Linked DNA regions of Bombyx mori. The protein of the gene in region 1 binds, or shares a complex with, the protein of each later gene. Links are inferred from orthologs where the notes say so. Each region holds a gene or a part of one and is shown on either strand. Other genes may lie near its edges.

Region 1 (4,203 bases):
CACTGAAAATGTCCAAGAAACGAGGTCTTAGTGCTGATGAAAAGAAGACCAGAATGCTTGAAATATTCCATCAAAGTCAAGATTTTTTTCAATTAAAGGTAACCTCATTAAATTACAACTTCATACATAGCTTTCGATGTCACTCTGCCCTAAACGATAAGATGCCAGATGTACTCATATTAAACAGTATTATTATAGCAATGTTTAAACCCAGCGGTTAGGTGCCAATTTTAGTAATGAACTTTGTAATTAAACATGTTTATAAATGACTTTCACAATAAATAATTAATGAAATCTGATAATACTGATGGGTGGCACATACATTGTGATGTCTGTTGACTCCAGTAACCTAATCACATACACCAGGGGTGGGTATTAAGCTCTTCCACTCAACTAAGCAATAAAATATATCTCTTATTTAGGATAAATGAGACAGTGTGAAATAGTGTCTGGAGTTTCTTACTTACTAGCAATGCAAGGTCGTTTTTTAATTAATTGAGAGCAAAGTAATAATAAATGAAGTTTTCACGAATGTTTACTCATCATTTGACTTACTTGGTAGGAGTCCAATTTCTTATTTGTTGGTGATCATGTTAGTTGAGTCACCAAATAGTCAATAATTAGTTCAAAAGAAAATGTTTAGACAGCACATAAAACAGAAGTGGCCATAACAAAATCTATTAAGATAATATTTTATATTTTAACTTTTACAGGAACTAGAAAAAATAGCACCAAAAGAAAAGGGTATTACAATGCAATCAGTTAAAGAAGTGATTCAGAGTCTAATTGATGATCACCTGGTTGATTCTGAAAAAATTGGGACTTCAGTGTACTTTTGGTCTTTCCCAAGGTACTATGTTAAACAACTAACTAAATAACTGGGAACAGAACAGTACATTATCATCTGGCGTCAAATCTGGCCTATTTCTGCCATTAAGCAGTTATTTATTTCGGTTTGAAGGGTGTTAGGTCATCATGCTGTTACAACTGAGACCTTAGAAATCTTGTCTCAAGGCAGGTGGCAGCATTTATGTTGTAATGTCTATGGGCTTCGGTTACCATGTAAAACCAGGTGGACTCATGTAAGCAGTAAAGCTGAATGAATAAATTTTTGCCCAATATGGGAATCGAATCCACAACTTTCGGCAGTCAGGGGTGCCAACTTTTGCACCACCGAGTCAGTCATTGACTAAGACTAGTTTTATTATTTTGAATAATAAAATTTACATGGACTTTACACACTGATGCTATGAGAAATTAAGAGTAAACAATTGTGCTTTTTAAAAATTTATGACTGCAAAATTATTTTTCAAATCAAGCAAGCTGTGGTAATGCCATGCAAACATTAAATAAATTACTTGTAGCAAAGCAAAAAGTACCAAGAAGAGGAAGCTACAAGAACTCCAGAATGAATTTGATGAATGTACGAAGAAGTTAAAGAAAACTGAGGAAGTCCTTATAGCAGAATCGGTCAGAATATTTATAGTTTTTTACTTAGTATAGTATAGTCTATAGAGTTATAATGAAACTTAATTCTATTCTATATTTATCAGAGACTGATATATTTATTAATTGACTTTAATATTAGAAAGGCAGAGAGATATCTGAAGAAAGAATAAAAATATTATCATCTTTAGAAGATCTTCAAAAGCAAGAGGCTTCATATAAGAGAGAATTACAAAAATACAGAGAATCTGATCCTGAATATATTGCACAACTGAGACGTGAAATAACTGTAAATCCAATTCTTATATTAATGTAGATGAGATGATGTCTTAAGGTCTATATTCCATTCAAGCTCATATTAGCGCCCCACTGTGAGCGCAATAGATAAGGCCAATGTCCCAAGTTTAAGGATTTAGTAATTGATGAATCAGTTCATGGCCTTTCTATAGTAGTATAGTATTTAGTGTTTCTGAAGTGTTAAGTAAGTTACTGAAGTTGATAGGTATCACAATGTGACTTCTGCTACCCACTTTAATATTGCACACATTAGATCAGTTACTATTATATTTCATAAAGGCCAAGTGAACTGATCAAACTGGAATGTGTATATTTTTTTTGGCAGATGTAGGCAGAATGACAAAACTGTATGAGCTTACAACTGGTAATGACTTTTAAGTCTAACATGTCTATTTCATGCTAGAAAATATATATTTTATTATTTGGTGGGTAATATTACTCAATATAACTTATCAGTATATTAATTAAGCATTGTATTCATTATTTAAAAATAAGGAAAACAAAGTACATTTAAAAAAATACTATGTTTTGATAAATAGCTTTCTGTAGGTGGTAGTATGTATAACCAAAGACATAACTATAATATTATCAAATAATAATATTGGATTAAAAATGTTTCATTTTGTAGGAATTGAAAACAGCCAGCAACAGATGGACAGAAAATGTATATATATTGAAATCTTATATAAAAAATAGTTTTCAAATAGATATTGATGCACTAGAAGAAAATTTTAACATACCTAAAGATATGGATTACATTGAATGAAGTTTTATATACAAGGCATTCCTCATAACCTAGGCCCAGAACATTAAATTTAAGTATGGGAAAAACCAAAGAAGAAATTCTTTGGCAAGTTAATATATTGTACGTAGTAAATTGATTAACTGATGTAATTTAAAATTCAAATCATTAAAGCACATTGTAACGATTCTAACTTTATCTGTAAGTTTGCATATGTAAAAGTAATATTTGTGAGAAATAAAAATAATAAATACCATTCAACGAGGACACCTTTCATTACATTCACCATGGTTCATTGTTTTAGAACTTGTCACTTTATGTAATAATTAATTGTAAATAAAGTATGTAGGTACCTATTTACTCCCTACTTTCAGTAGATACCATAGGTTATACAGAATACTATTACTATTATAAACTATTATTCATAGACTATACACTTAATATCTATTATTTATGGGTAAGTGTGGAAGGCTCATTACACTTTGCTAAATTTAGTCGGTGTAATAGCATTCAGTAAGTTAACCTGCTAAATTCAGTAGCAAGGATGGTTTCTGACTGACTAAATCATTTAGAAGCCTAATTAGAAACGCATATAAGAAGGTGTAATCGCATTTAGTTACTTAATGATTTCAGTCGTCCCATAGCTCTCCGTGCGTAAGGACGGCTTAGTTTGTTTTTTACTTCCGAATAAAAAGTATTTATTTCGCTCACCTTTATTAAATGTGCCAAACATTTATAAATAGCCCAACTTGTTTCAGGGATAATTTTTGTCAGAAGGGGTTGGGATATTATAAAGAACTAAAAATTAAATCTTGATACGAATTTCCTGTTGCAAGAAATCTTAATGTTACAACCAATCTTTCTTTTGGACTTATACTATCGTAGGATTAGATATGTAATAGTTATATAATATAGATATATAATAGACTATAGTAGTATCGTAGGATAGTATCCTGCTTTTGAAAAAAATTGTGCCACAAGGCTTAATATTTGGTCAAACGACCTCGAATCCATTCGTAGATCATTTCTGAAGTCTGCTGGTTCTAAATCATTCTTTTTTTTTTTTTTTTTTTTTTTTTTTTTTCCTGCCTAAGCTGAGAGCCTTGAGAGGCTATATCAGCGTAACCCTAACTTTTGTAGGTGAGCTCACGGGGCTCAAACCTGACGATGTTGCTAACACGAACCCTAGCAAGAGCCGTGCTTCGCAGAATCTACCACCGGATCGGAAACGCGACCCACTGAGAAGATCCGGCGAGAAACTCAGTGGGCTGTGTCTAAGAGTTAATTTACTCGTCGAGCCCTTCGTCGCAAGCGACGGGTTCGACGAGAACGGTGACCGGTGCTTGAAGTACCTAAAAGCACCGTTAGTGGATCGGGAGGATCCGAGATGACGTGTTTTGGGCGACGTCGACTGCTTTCCATTCTGTCCGCAGGATCGGGAATGTAGTTACCGGCGGCCACGATGAGAGGGTTCTCGTGTCGTGCCGCTTTATCGAAGTGGCGCATTGACGCCGACTGCATATACTTACTGGTGGACTCGAAGTCCAGGTCGTCATGGAGGTCGACGTTCCTGACGAACCACGGGGCTCCGACGGCTATCCTGCAAAAACGGGATTGAATGACTTGGAATGATTTCAAGTGTATGCGGGCCGCGTGAGCGAACACTACACTTGCATAGGTCATGACGGGGCGTATGCAAGTTTTGTAGAGTGTCACCT
Region 2 (3,552 bases), on another chromosome or scaffold:
GATTTTGGCAAAGTCAAAAAGGATTGAATTTCAATTATAAAAGAAATTGATAATTGAAGTGTGTGACGAGCTGATAATGAGCAATAATGAAATGTGGATTGGCCGTAACAAGTAAAAAGCAATTAAAACAAGTCTCATAACAATAAAATTTTTGTAACTAGTCTTAACCTACTCTAGTTTTTTTTGGTACATGAAAAAATCACTCTTATTTAGTTTATATAGTTTCAAGGCTTTAACGATTCAGAATATTAATAAGCTGACAAAAACCTGCACCCACGCACTCGTATACAAACCTCAATTGATGCAGATTATAAAAGAAGCAAACAGCAGGTCATTTTTCAAATGTTAGAGCTTACAATAATTTTGGCTATTAAATATACAGTAGAGATAGAATTTCTTCACAAATAGACAGAAGGAACCAATGTCCTAGGCTTTGAGACTTTGACCAGTTAAAATAAATACTGTGTTAAACTTTCCATTGACAATGGGAGGCATGTAAATCAAGAGCCTTTGTGCGGTGATTAATATAGGTATGAAAGAAAAACTCTAATATCTTAAAAAATTTATGTCAATTATAGATTTTTATTTTTAATTGTGTTTTTTAAAAAATATTTCATTATTTTTCTAATGGGGAATAATTCAAGAGTTTTTCAATGAGATCCACGTGTCCGAGCAACATTCTTCTGCAGCAGTATCTTTTCAATCCAAGGACATCCAAAGCATCACTGAAAGTAAAAAAATACAATTAAATATTAACATTCACATAGTAAATCTACTGTATACAGTACGCTTAACTGACTTCGATGATTACCAGTAATCTATCACTATCAAGAGAATCTTATGCCTATAAACACATTAAAAAAGGTATAAGAATACTCAAAGCTAACAAGCATTAACAATCTTATTTCATTGCTGCAGTTGGTAGTAATGATTATATCAACTCGGGCCACTTTTTACATAGCTTACTTGTCTAGTAGGATATCATCTTACATTTATCACTTATATGCTTCCGTTTCCTCACACTCAAACTGGATATTGCAAAACAGTCCAGAGATTAATCTGGTGTCAAGATCTACCATCATTACCACCTCATTCCCGATCCTGCGGACAGAATGGAAAGCAGTCGACGTCGCCCTAAACACGTCATCTCGGATCCTCCTGATCCACTAACGGTGCTTTTAGGTACTTCAAGCACCGGTCACCGTTCTCGTCGAACCCGTCGCTTGCGACGAAGGGCTCGACGAGTAAATTAATTCTCAGACACAGCCCACTGAGTTTCTCGCCGGATCTTCTCAGTGGGTCGCGTTTCCGATCCGGTGGTAGATTCTGCGAAGCACGACTCTTGCTAGGGTTCGTGTTAGCAACATCGTCAGGTTTGAGCCCCGTGAGCTCACCTACTAAAGTTAAGGCTACGCTGAAATAGCCGCTAGGGCTATCAGCTTAGGTAGGAAAAAAAAAAAAAAAAAAAAAAAAAAAAAATTACCACCTTGTGACCTATGGATTATGATAACCACTTTAAGATAGGTGGGCTGTAAGTATGAGTTGGCAAATAAGAAAAACCCAAGTTAACAGGAATCACCTACATATTCCGTCATTTGAATTCATAAGAACATTAATATTGTTTCTGGGAGGAGCTGTTTTATCTTTCTTGCTGAATTTTTATCAAATAACTACATTATATTATGTATGTCAGTTATTTCCATTTTAAAGTTCTAGAATATTGGTAAGTATAAAAACCAGTTGCAAAACTTAAATTGTACAGTACCCTTCTGTGTAATCCGCCTGTAGCAGGCCTAAGTAAGCTTCCCATTTGTTTCCTATAACCTTCCCGCATGTGAAACATCGTACTGGAATAATCATTTTGTTTATTTCCTACAACCTAAAGTTGTGGTGAGGCACTGGGGTTATAAAGTATCAATGCTTTAACTATTTATTTGGTTTATAAAACGTATTTACTTTTAATAATAATAGAAGATATTTTAGTTACAAAGTATCATTAAATTTAATGAGAAAACACTGTAATTCTATTCTTTACAATTCACAATAATATTATTTTACTTCGAGATAAAAACTTTTTAGACTCGCAACGACAGTCATAGATTACATATTGTATTGTCTATGACTTATGATTAAAGATGACAGTGTCACAAGAAAATATGATATTTTTGTTTGTCGATTTCAATCGGCAAAAGGAATGTAGTCTATAGAACCAAATTTTAATGTTTTATTTTTAAAACATTTTAAAACATTGAATGAATGTTCATTTCATTTGAATGGTACATAATTATTTTTTAAATTTCCAAACTGACTTTTAGTGGTTGGATTTTAGAGAGTAAGATATGCTCCTTTTTAACGTTTGAGTGAAATTGATTGACGCATATTTGGAGCAGTCTACTTATTATTAGAATATTTTAATAAGTAATCAAGAAATTTTCTAAGCCAGTCTCTTAAAAAATGTGAAATGTATGGTTTTCTCTATTATTTCAGGTTAAAATGACTTTATCCCTGCAGCAACATATCAGTATTGATGACAGTCAAATGGTACGTAGCATTTCATTTGTGATCATCGGCAAATTTTCAATGTAAATAAATCAAGTTAAAACAACCATTCATTCCGTACATTAAGGCATGGGAGAGCATATCGAATTTGTGAAATCTCAAAAGTCCAAAGTTAATTATTTTATTTTGTAAATTTAATATTTCATCAGATCTACATGTGTAATGAGAGTGAATTGTGAACCGTTTGGAATATGTGAAAATGCAAAAGTTTGGGAAAATGAAAGACGAACGTCAGTCATAGCTTCTCGTATTCTTCCAAAATATGCATTAGGCTGTCAGTTGCTTAATAATAAGTTACTGCGATATTTATTTAATTTCATGTAATTCAAGTCCTATGATGTTGTTGTTGTTAAGTATATTTCATTTTCTCCTTCAGTGTTATCTGCTTCGTCTCAATATAGGAATCGACTCATTGCAATGCTGCGCTGCATAAAAATATGTTCTAAATACATTTCCAGCTGCTTTACTCCATTTTCTCATACTTGTGTACTATAACAAATGTTTTACGGTTAATAAACCATTATTTTAAGCTTTAAAGTCTGAAGAAACCCTAAATTAACTACAACGTACAATTTCCATTCGGTCTCATACAATTATTCAGTTTATTCGTTCCAGTTCACCTTTGACTGATGATTGGCTTCAGCTTAAATTACAAAACATTTTACTGTATGCGTCCCATTTCCTTTGCCTGTACTATATGAACGAATCAATAAAAATGATATTTTGACAATTGACATTAGATTATTAAAAGAAATACAACAAACAAGGGGGTTTTGTAATTTTTTGGTGATAATTTTTCTTACTTTTCTGTTGTATTTTGAATTATTTACAATTTCAAAGGTCTGGCCTTAGCGTTAATTCGGATATAATAGTGAAAAATATCTGACAGTGCAGTTATCAGGCAATTTTGCAGTATGAAATTTTAAATTTATTTTTAATTTCATGAACAAAAGCCTTGTTCTCAATTGAAATACAAGAATTCATTAAGATTAT
Region 3 (4,303 bases), on another chromosome or scaffold:
ACGCTTAAAATAAAAGTGTATAAGAGTAAGACAATTTTTTTTTTATTGCCTTTGTGGGCAGACGGGCATACGGCCCACCTGATGGTGAGTAGTTACCGTCGCCCATGGACTTCAGCAATGCCAGGGGCAGAGCCAAACCGCTGCCTACAATAAATGAAATGCAAATTGAACAAGTACTTTTTATTTATATGATTTTTGTCAGGTGATGATCTTTAAATCGTTTTCTAGTTACTACATTTGAATTATGTAAATAATGAAAATATTATACGTACCTCAGTAAAGATTTTTTATCTTTTATTTTATAAACCGGTTTGAAGTTAAACTTTCCATCCGGAGAGCATTCGATTTTAGGATTGCTCTGTAGGGCTTCTGTTTGTAGCCACTTGAAAATGTTTACAGCAGGTTATAAAAGAGAAATCAATTAAAATAGAATATTATTTATAAAAAGCATTTTAATCAATTTGGGTGTTGTGGTACTTGTGTGCTGGGGTATAATAATACTGTAATTAATGCCATCATTTTCCTAAAGTAATTACTCATGATTATTTTTATACATTATGTAGATACAGTTAGTGTTAATAGGGTGTCTTGTGAGCATGCAGGGGTAGATATAACCACACTGCCTATTTCTTTACTGAAGCATAAGCAATATAAAAGTGAGATTTAGAACTCATGTCTATATACTCCAGTAACTGCTTAACACCAGGTGGTTCGTGAGCACATTAGACTTAGTAATAAAATAAAAATTGCATTTATCATCAGCTATAAGAAAATGTGTGTGTTGTTGTAATTATTATTGAGGTAATTTATTTATTATTTCAATACTTATTAAAAGATACCTGTTTTATTTTATTTCCGACATCCAATTGATTTGTCTCATCTAAAATCTCATCTAAAGACAGTGGATGGTCATCTCCATCTTGATGCCTTGCTCTCATATGCCGTACAATACGCGCTAGCACACCAAAGCGATAGGACGAGCTGCCAGTCATAGTCTTGTAACTGAAAAGGATGATGATCAATCACAGATTTAACCAATAATTATAATATAACAAAAAATAATATTATTAGTGTTTGCTTATTGATCTAAATTCGACCATAATCATTGACACCTCAAGGTTTAGATTCAATTTAGTATTAAATTTTCCCTTTTGTTTCGTTACTTAGTGATATAAAAAAAAATCTAGAACTGTTTTCTGATAACACAAAAGCTCTTTAATAGCTACTAAATTAAATAAAAGGGAGAGTTGTCAAACAGAGAAAGAACTGGTATCTATATGCTCTATCTCAATATTTTATCCATTGTAGCACTAAATATGATCAATTCTTTTTTATATATTTTATAAGATTTTAGCAAATACACTAAATGATAAATTATTTTTTTAACAATAAAAAGCTCGCTACATATAGCCTGTATCAAGGCTATCATAATATAAATTTTCGAATTCCAAATAAATCCTGTGTTTTTTATTTTTCATAATTTTTTTTCCAAAGGCTTTTTCTAATTTTTTTTATTCAAAAGTTGATATTGCTATAAAAAGTTTATTAGTATTATTTAATAGAATTGGCGATTAAAATTACCTATAAAGCATAATAAATTATGGGAAGCAATGGTACTGATGTCATGAATAGATATTGCTGATATAGTAATTTGACCTAGTCAAAAGATAAAACTAAATGTGATTTCTAGTTTATTAATGAAAATAGCATTAGTAAATGATGCACATATTTGTTTATGCGGAACACAGTAACTATGTAAATTCAATAGTTATTTTGATAACAGAATATTTTAAATTATTAATTATGTTGCCCTAGCCTTTACTTACTTACTAGCATCAAGCTTTGGTCCGGAGCTGACTGAGCTGGATGATTTCGATTTCTTTTTGCTGTCATCTTTGAATTCAGAGTCATCCCTTTTCTTTTTTTCAATGCTGAAGAGAAAAGAATAATACTTTATTAATTTTGTTTCGTTCTAATTTGACAGTAACCTTTCGATGGGTTGAACTATAGCTCATGTAAAGTGTACTTTTATCAAGTGTGACTATGCTGGTATTCAAATACCATAGACCTGTATAATTTTTTCCACGGCAAAACATTTCTAACACGTTTTCATAAATGGATTATAAGATGAAGTAGCATTTTAGATAAAAATCATGTTTCAAAACAATTGGTGACATTCACATTATATCTAGGGGCTCAGGTAATCACTTAACATAATGTGGGCTGTCAGCTTGATCAGATTCTTTGAAAAAATTCATTACTTTAAATTAAATGAAACATTTTCCATTGTATTCTAATTTACCTAGGGCATGCCAGTCAATATAATCTTTAAAAAAATAGGGCCTGTGCCTTGATCATATTTATCTAGAATATTGGCTGCTATTAAATTAGGAAAGATATTATATCTTATTAACATTTAAATCTTCTACTTTTCTCTGCACAAGTGATTTGTTCACATTTCTACTCATTTAGTATTTCGAAACACATATTTCCATTCATAACTTTATATAATGACTCAGTAATGAATATTGCCACAAGGAAGTGAATTGATAGTAATTGTATGGGCTACGTGAGTGACAGAGAAAGTGTGCGATGGATGCCAGTATGTCTCCAATCATTGTTGTGGACTAGCGAATAGTTTAGTTAAAAATAATGTAACAGACCTCGGGGTCGCAAGTGCCTTCTTTTTAAACGCTTCCCGTTCCCGTAAGAGCGCCGGGTCCATATTTTCGTCTTTTAAACACAATCACTAAAAGTACGTATCAATTGTATTAGTATTTTGTTTAATTGCTGTTGTAATGTAGTCTATTTTCCACTTCCAAATCCTGTTTCTTTAAAATCCGGTTTGAGCAATTTGACATGTGACATATGACCATCTTTGACAAATGACGTGAGGGAGTTCATATAGAGTCCCTTCTTTATTTCGCCTGGTTGTGTTTTATGTAATTAACACCACAGTTGGAACAATATAAATTTTATTGTTGTAGCGGCATAAAGTAATTACATTAAATTGGTTATTATCACATTATAAATTATTTTTGTTTTTCATATTTTGGCGGTAAAAAGGTATTGTCACAGACTATATTCTTTTTCCCACATCTCGTGCGTTCCGGCTTACGCATAATAAAACGCCACACCACCCCCCTACGGAGAAGGAGAATCCGCAGAAAAAGAGAAAAAAATATCATAGGTCGAAAGGTTTGGAGAAGTGGACTCTGCGACCTGATCGGGTGGTATATTGAGGTGTATGCGTAGGAGTAGCAGTTAGAGGTGCCGAAGGCACGAGTGGACATGAAGGGACATTAGTAGCATCCGGTTGCGCTGGTTGAGGCACAGAAACCCGCGGTGCTGGTGCTGGAACGAGATCTACTAAAGAATGCTCGACGAAAGCTGGCTTAATTCTGTCGACACTGACCGTCACCTGTTTCCCTTTTACATCAATCGACCACGTTTTTCCGTCCTCGGCTCTAGATATAACTCTATGAGGACCAGAGTAAGGTGGTTGCATTGAACGTCTAACCGAATCCTCCCTGAGCATTACATGAGAGGCGGTGGAAAGATTTTTAAATATGAAAGGTGATGGTTTAGTGTGTGAGGAACATGGAGTGGGACGCAATTTAGACATACGCTGTCTTAACTTTACGACAAAATCCGTCGGGTCCTCGAAGCCAGAAGGACCGGGAGGTACTAACAGTTCCCCTGGAAGCGTTAATGTTTCTCCGTAAAGCAATTCCGCTACTGTTGCTTGTAGATCTTCTTTAAAAGCCGAACGCATTCCTAATAAGACCAAAGGTAATGCATTCAACCACGAATCATCATAACACATCAGAGAGGCCTTTAATTGTCTATGCATGCGCTCCACGAGCCCATTGGCACAAGGGTGGTAACTAGTAGTGCGTATACGTTTAGTACCACATAAATTAGTAAGGCGTCTGAAAAGGTCCGACTCGAACTGTCGTCCCTGGTCGGTAGTGATGACAGCAGGTACTCCGAATCGAGCAATCCAACCGGCTACAAAGGTGCTCGCCACTTCTTCTGCTGTTATTCCGTGCATAGGCCAAACTTCGGGCCATCGAGTGTAGCGATCCACAGCAGTCAGGCAGTATTGGAAGTCAGAACAAGATGGAAGAGGGCCTATGATGTCAATATGGACATGCTTCAGTCGAGACGTAGGACTGGAGAAGTGTCCAAGTGGAGATTTTATATGCCGCGTCACCTTACTTCGCTGGCAAGCAACGCAGGTTTGGCACCAATAACGGCAATCTTTGGCAATGCCAGGCCACACGAAACGGTCTGAGATCAA

What was found.
Region 2: general transcription factor IIH subunit 5 (region 1) and DNA-directed RNA polymerases I, II, and III subunit RPABC5 share a complex: the UniProt entries of both Homo sapiens proteins name them as parts of the TBP-based Pol II pre-initiation complex. The link is inferred for Bombyx mori from reciprocal best matches to the Homo sapiens genes GTF2H5 and POLR2L.
Region 3: general transcription factor IIH subunit 5 (region 1) and general transcription factor IIE subunit 2 share a complex: the UniProt entries of both Homo sapiens proteins name them as parts of the TBP-based Pol II pre-initiation complex. The link is inferred for Bombyx mori from reciprocal best matches to the Homo sapiens genes GTF2H5 and GTF2E2.

What each region holds. Positions count from the first base shown.
Region 1 is NC_085109.1:11,979,561-11,983,763, reverse strand, and holds the start of general transcription factor IIH subunit 5, read right to left. Parts: upstream 2,902-4,203; 5' UTR 2,775-2,901; coding exon 2,740-2,774; exon of another isoform or gene 2,510-2,739; coding exon of another isoform or gene 2,372-2,509; intron 1,736-2,371; coding exon of another isoform or gene 1,589-1,735; intron 1,471-1,588; coding exon of another isoform or gene 1,365-1,470; intron 851-1,364; coding exon of another isoform or gene 714-850; intron 99-713; coding exon of another isoform or gene 9-98; exon of another isoform or gene 3-8; coding exon 1-2. Other genes in the region: meiotic nuclear division protein 1 homolog, read left to right, coding at 9-98, 714-850, 1,365-1,470, 1,589-1,735, 2,372-2,509. UniProt on the Homo sapiens protein: Component of the general transcription and DNA repair factor IIH (TFIIH) core complex, which is involved in general and transcription-coupled nucleotide excision repair (NER) of damaged DNA and, when complexed to CAK, in RNA transcription by RNA polymerase II.
Region 2 is NC_085133.1:5,484,821-5,488,372, reverse strand, and holds DNA-directed RNA polymerases I, II, and III subunit RPABC5, read right to left. Parts: upstream 2,138-3,552; 5' UTR 1,861-2,137; coding exon 1,766-1,860; intron 726-1,765; coding exon 617-725; 3' UTR 551-616; downstream 1-550. UniProt on the Homo sapiens protein: DNA-dependent RNA polymerase catalyzes the transcription of DNA into RNA using the four ribonucleoside triphosphates as substrates.
Region 3 is NC_085118.1:15,266,813-15,271,115, reverse strand, and holds the start of general transcription factor IIE subunit 2, read right to left. Parts: upstream 2,870-4,303; 5' UTR 2,726-2,869; coding exon 2,664-2,725; exon of another isoform or gene 2,660-2,663; intron 1,932-2,659; coding exon 1,827-1,931; intron 1,003-1,826; coding exon 840-1,002; intron 383-839; coding exon 273-382; intron 1-272. UniProt on the Homo sapiens protein: Recruits TFIIH to the initiation complex and stimulates the RNA polymerase II C-terminal domain kinase and DNA-dependent ATPase activities of TFIIH. Both TFIIH and TFIIE are required for promoter clearance by RNA polymerase.